2 separate regions of the Mus musculus genome follow, and region 1 is reported to be linked to region 2. Evidence: microRNA targets listed by miRTarBase, many of them from high-throughput screens and not tested one by one. Region 2 holds a microRNA gene; the other region holds the end of a gene's coding sequence.

What was found. The annotated mature microRNA mmu-miR-375-3p reads UUUGUUCGUUCGGCUCGCGUGA and lies in region 2 at 1,396-1,417, opposite strand. An mRNA with a match to its seed (bases 2 to 7 or 8) in the 3' UTR can be bound and repressed. Matches are read on the target gene's strand: a 7mer-m8 pairs with bases 2 to 8, a 7mer-A1 pairs with bases 2 to 7 and ends in A, and an 8mer does both.
Region 1: the mRNA of Ahr is a reported target of mmu-miR-375-3p. Seed matches in the 3' UTR shown: 8mer at 1,746-1,753.

The regions. Positions count from the first base shown.
Region 1 is chr12:35,498,068-35,501,133 of GRCm38, reverse strand. It overlaps Ahr (aryl-hydrocarbon receptor), which reads left to right. Exons shown (of 11, transcript NM_013464.4): 11 at 434-3,066. The coding sequence ends at 445. Among named protein-coding and RNA genes, the nearest start is that of Ahr, 35 kb to the left of the region's middle.
Region 2 is chr1:74,899,266-74,902,394 of GRCm38, forward strand. Mir375 (microRNA 375) reads right to left here and starts at 1,456; the gene lies at 1,393-1,456. Cfap65 (cilia and flagella associated protein 65) reads right to left here. Exons shown (of 33, transcript NM_001039495.1): 32 at 3,074-3,129; 33 at 2,815-2,978. The coding sequence ends at 2,870.

The DNA.
Region 1 (3,066 bases), not on the chromosome of region 2:
AAGAATAGCAAGAAACATTTAAAATCCAGATCTGGGCAAAAGTGCTGGTGTCTGAAATGCTGTGTAGAAGTTCGGATAGAATCAGTTCACTGCCTCCAGGTTTTTGATTGGTTGTGGCAGGACTGAATAACCCTTTGACACCCCATGTCACATAATTTCCCATCAGGCCCCAAGGCAGACGAAGTGAGATAGTTGTAGCGTTCGCTGTACCATCTTTAAATTATCTTGTAGGACTAATGAGAAAACCTGATCTTCCAAAAGAAGTCAGTGTGTGAGCGTTTCCTCTGTGTGATTTGAATGACGAAAGACTTAGCCATGAGCATCATCAGTACAGGACTGTAAAGTGAAACAACCCATAGGTCTAACAGACTAAAAGTCGTTTTTAAGGTCTTCCTCAGATCCTAACAAGCTGCTGTGCTGTGTTTGTTCTCAGGTGCAGAGTTGAGGTGTTTTCAATGAAACCTATTCGTCCGACTTGAGCAGCATTGGCCACGCTGCTCAGACCACTGGCCATCTCCATCACCTGGCGGAAGCCCGGCCTCTTCCCGATATCACACCCGGTGGATTCCTGTAGCTCCCATGCCAGGATGAAATTCATTCAGGAACAGGATACCAGAACTGTGAGGGTTGGACATCAGTACACTTTCTCCAAAACAGATTTCGATTCTTGTGTTTAGAGAAGGAGTTTAAAACCCGTACCTGAGATGCTCCCTATACGATGGGAGAGCTCGGACGGAGCACATGGGAGGAGTTCAGGCACCTCAGAGTGCACAGTGTTTACTGTGAAAAATTCTCGGGTTCCCTGCTCAGTAACTTCAGCAGGAAAAACAGGGAGGTATTTGGAGCTTTGAACTTCTGGATTCTTGTTAGTATACCAAATACGGAGTTACAGGACTAACCGATTTCCTATATTTTTTAACCTCTGTTTTTGTCCCAGAAGTTAAAGTAAATGGTTTGGTGCTTTTCTCAAAAGAAAATCTCAATGCTTTCTTTCTGCACTGTTAATATAAGTGCCTCACTTTTTGTTGTTGTTGTTGTTGTTTTCTGATTTTTTTCTTTTTTTCTATCTACCTGTAACACAATAGGGTATGTATTTTATATGAAATATTTTTTATCTTTTTTGAATTAATATTCTTTCTGCACAAAGAAAGTTTCCCGAATCCCAACCTTTCTATGACCCCGCTGTGTGTGTGCACTACTCATCCTTTCCTTCAGATAAAGAGTAATTGATAACTCAAAGTCCACTATTTATTGTGTAATATACCTGCTTCTGGCCGTTAGATGTTCCTCTGTGCCTTATGTTGAAAAATTTGAAAAATAACATGTTGCCCAAATTATTTAATTATTACATACTATTAGAGAGTAGCACTTGTATTTTAACCGTGTTTTCTGAGACGTGAGATAACGCTGCTGCTGAAGGTTTCCCAGAAACCTCCACGATGAGATCAGAAGGCCACCGTAGAAAGTGCTAAAGGTGCCTATGTCCACTACGCTGCAGTGAGGGGAGGTGGCGTGTGTCAAGCCTGTTAGCTATATTAAGCAGAGCACTCATTTCACTCTGTCTAAATTATCTTTGAAAAACTGTCTGTAATCCTGTTTGTGATATTGACTTTATAAATTCCACTTCTTATACTAGTGGAAGCTATTCATTTTTCTCATATTTGAGGAGTGTTAAGATGGAAGATGCCATGTCAGGTGCAAGGTGTTTTAATGACTGAAATGAATGGTGCATTGTATAAACATAACGAACAAAATAATCTGTAAAATATTCGCAGTTTTCATTTAAGAATAGTTCTTACCTCATATGCATTTTTTCAGTGTATCTTGTAAAGAAATCAAGTAGTAAATTGAAGCTTTTACGTTGGCATTAAGATAAAGATAAATACAATTTGTTCACCTCCATACCTTAAGTTGTTTATGTGATACACCCTTTGCTGCCAATATGGCAAATGTGTCACTCTGCCAAATGCACTGTTCTCAAACGGCTTAAAGAAAAAATGCTGGTGTCTGCCATTGTCTCTGTTCTTGCTTAGATATGATATATGAAGGATGTGGTCCTGGATCTGTTTTTCATATGTTATATAAAAAGCTGATGAGATCCCAAACTGAGATGTATTCAAATCCAGAAGTGGTTCTCAACCTGTGCTCTGTGGCTCCCGTGGGAGATAGACTGACCCTTTCACAGGGGTCCCCTAAGACCATTGGAAAACACAGATATTTGCATCACAATTTATAACAGTAGGGAAATTACAGTTTTAAAGTAGCAATGAAAATAATTTTATGGTTGGGGTCCTGAGCAACTGTATTCAAGGGTCACAGCATTAGAAAGGTTGAGATCCACTGAAATGTTGACTCTTCTTTTTTTCTTTTAGAAAATTAATGTATGTAAACATGCCTTTGGGAAAAAGATCTCTTCTATGCATTTTCAGTCAAAATTCTGAATCTCTAGGATTAAGCATTGAAAAACAACTGTCTAAAACATTTCACAATTTTTTTCCAGCATGAGGTGTCACCAAGGATTTAGACTGGTGGTCTGAATTAGTATCCCACTTTTCTATGTAAACTTTTCATTAAAAGTTGTCATAGAAACCATTTTGTCAGTCTCTTCTGCATGTTACCAAATATTCAGTTAAAAAAAAGAAGACAACTTTGGACACTGAGAGTATGGTGGCATTTAATTACACACTTATCAAACTGAAAGTCTTAAAAACAATATTGTGTGTTCTTATCTATATAAAAATAGCTAAAACATCTAAGAATAATAAAATCACATTAAACTGCCTATTTGTTTGTCTGTATTGCCAAGTGCCAAATGGAAAGACCACTTAGAGCACCACTAGACTGAGGGATTAACTTCTAGATGAAATTCTAAGACTCTTGTGTATGTCTGATTGAAGTTCTTCTTTTCTAGGTGTTTCTTACAGCACCTGAACACTTAACCAATATGCCAGTGTATCAACTTTTCAATTGTTACTATGCACAAGCTAGTTTGAGTATCAATAGATCTTAGGTCTACATAGCTCCTTGCTGTCCTTTAAACTGTTACTTGCTTACATATGCCATGCA
Region 2 (3,129 bases):
AAAGGGGAAAAGACAGTTCCACAGGGAGAACCTGGTCGGGGAGGCCAGGATGGGGGCTACACATCTCCATCTGAGGACACCTGGACCTAGTCTAGCCTTGGGACTAGTTCCATCAAGAACCCACCCTTTCCTCATCAGAACCACTTTGCAAACATTCCTCAGGCGCTCAGCAGATCCAGTGGGACCTCCTGGTAACTAGGGGGTTGGGTAGTAGAGCACATGTGGGCGATGGGACAAGACAGCAGTTCTAGGAAAATTTGGTTTATTTATCACACCGTCTCCCTGGCATTGCCTCTGTCTTGGTGTGTGGGTTACTGCTCTCCTTCATTTCTTCTTTATCCTAATGGGAAACCAGCCAGGGGCTCCTTGCTGCTGTATGAGAGCCTTTGTCACCATACATTGTCATGAGGGGGGCATGGAAGGCACCTGGAATCACAGGACAGCCTCACTCAACCCTGGCCTAACCTCCCTGCTGGGTCTTGTATGGAGCTCTTGGTTTGAGCTCCTCTGCCAGAGTGTAAGAAAATCCCCTTCCTGCAAGCCAGGTCACAGCATTTAAAGTAATTGAGATGGGGGTGGCCCATTCCAGATCTAGGTTGTGGCTAGTGATCCATGGCCAAACGAACTCTGGCTGAGCTGTGTGCTACCTAGACCCAGTCTAGCCCGTCTGACTGGGCTGCAGAGAATACAAGATTAGGGGGTTTTGAGGAAGGTGGTGAGTTCTTTCCTGTGCCTGAAGACCCTGTTTGTCCTTTTTGCTGTCTGCTGATCTCAGATATGGTTGGATTGGAACACGGACCCGAGAGGAGGTGAAAGTGAAAATTTCAGGTGGCAGTGGAAAGAGTCTGAGAGGTGGAGTGGATTTGAGTCTGCCCAGAAGACCTCAGTTCACCTCTCCCAGATTTTTCCCACACTGCACAACCCTGGCACTGTGAGGTTAAAAGGTTAAAGGGACTCGGCAGAGTGGCTAGGGGTCCAGAGAGCAGAATAAAGAGGTTAGTGGAGGCCCTGACTATTGTGAGAAAGGCGGCTGACTTTGCAAATGGGGGAACCAAGACTTTTTGATAACACTCCCCCAAGGCTACAGAATTCTCTGGGACAGAGCAGGACTAGAATCGCAGTTTCCCCCTTCGGGAGGGGATCTGTTCCAGACCTCAGCCCATTGCGGCCATCCTGCTGGAGCCTGCTCGGCCCGCATTACCCTGCAGCGAGCTATGCCTGGCAGCTCAGAGTCTGAGGGCAGGGCAGGCGGGGCCTGATGGGAACCGGTTGTCTCCCCCCTGGGGGGACCGTGCTCAGTCTCTGCGACCCATATGGTGGCGGTGGCGACGGCGGCTGGTGTTTGCATGGCGATCTGGCCGGCCCCAAGGCTGATGCTGAGAAGCCGCCCCTGCCTCACGCGAGCCGAACGAACAAAACGCTCAGGTCCGGTTTGTGCGAGGGGCTCGTCGCGGGGCCGGAGCGGAAGACCCGGGGCCGGGCGGCAGTCGTCGGCGGTGTCTGGTGGATGAGCTTCCTCGAGTGCACAGCGCTCCCGCTAGCCGCCGCTCTCACCTGAGCACCGCGGTGGCTGACACGTCGGCGGCAGTGGCGGACGCCACAGGTGCACACCTGGCCGGCCCCTCCCTCCCGGGCCACCCGCCACAGCGTTTCTGCCCCTCCGCCCAAACCAGCCAGGCTTGGCTTCGTCCCCAGCCCACGCCCCGAAGCTTGTGCCCGAGCCAGGACTCAGAGCACTCTTATACTGCCAGTTCAGTCCCCGCCCCTGCACACACACACACACACACACACACACACACACACACACACACACACCTGTCCGGGCGCCCGTTTGCTCGGGGCAAATATTGACTCATGGAGGCGGAGCACACCCCCCCCCCCCTCGCTCAGAGGCCTTGGCAGCGGGTAGGGGGGGTGAGAGAGGGAGGGAAGGGACAGGGGTGCAGGGGAGGGTACCGGGACCAGGAGCGCCTCTGGAACAACACCAGATGTCACTTTTCCACCCACCTGGCTCTGAGCTCAGGGAGGAGCAGAAGACAGAGGCTGCCCAGAGGGCTTAGGGAGAAAACAGAGGCGGACCTCCTAGCGAAGGCAGAACATCTCTGGGTCTCAGGAGTGGTTTGCAATGGAGGTTATTTAGTAACATCCGTAGCCCACCAAACCTTGTCTTCGAAAAGTACCCAGATCATAAATCTGGCCTCTGCGATGTACCTCATTTTTTTTTTAAACTTGTTTGTTCGTTTTGAGACAGGGTTTCCTTTTGTAGCTATTATGTCCTACAACTAGATCTGTAGACCAGGCTGGACTCACAGAGATACGCTTGCCTCTGCCTCCCAAGTGCTGAGATTAAAGGCTTCCTTGCTTGCGCCACCACAGCCCAGCTTCATTCTAACCTCTTAGCATAGTTCAGGGAACTAGGTTGGCCCTGGAAGTGCTGGTGAACACATGTGGGAAGATTCTATCTCCATGGCTACCTATTTAGCCCACCAGGCCTAGGAATCCTCTTTTTTGTTTTGTTTTGTTTTTGTTTTTGTTTTTTGGGTTTTTTTTTGTTGTTGTTTTTTGTTTTGTTAACCAAGTTACACTGTTGCAAAGATCAGCTATGTCTCTCCTGAAGCGCCCTCCACTGGCCAAACTAAGAACAACACCTCACTGCAAGTAAGAAGAACTCTTGCCTGTCAACGGGAAATGTACCCTCCCATTTCTAAATAGATGGGTCTCTGTGGTCCACATCAAAAACTCTCACCTTCCACATATCTCAACATACTTCTTTCTCCAGGCAGGAGGAAATAAAAGCCAGGTAGATTGGCGTGTGGAACTTAATGGTTTACTTGCAGAACAGTAAGAAAAAAAAGGGACCAGGGGCAATTTAGGTAGTCATGTTAGAGGGGCTGGATGCTGACACCAGCAAACAGTCAGGATGCTGCATCCCAGAGCAGAGCACGTCCCCTTGTGACATCTGCAAGAGGTTGTCTGTCCTGCAAAAGAGAAAGGGTGAGGCTTTCAATCACATCTGAATGCCTCTCCTGGCTTGCCTTCCTCCAACCAATGAGGCTAAGCCCAACCCCCTGACCTGTGCATGCTGACTGGTGGTAGGGCAATGATGCGGGGCCTCGAAGTGAGCACTAC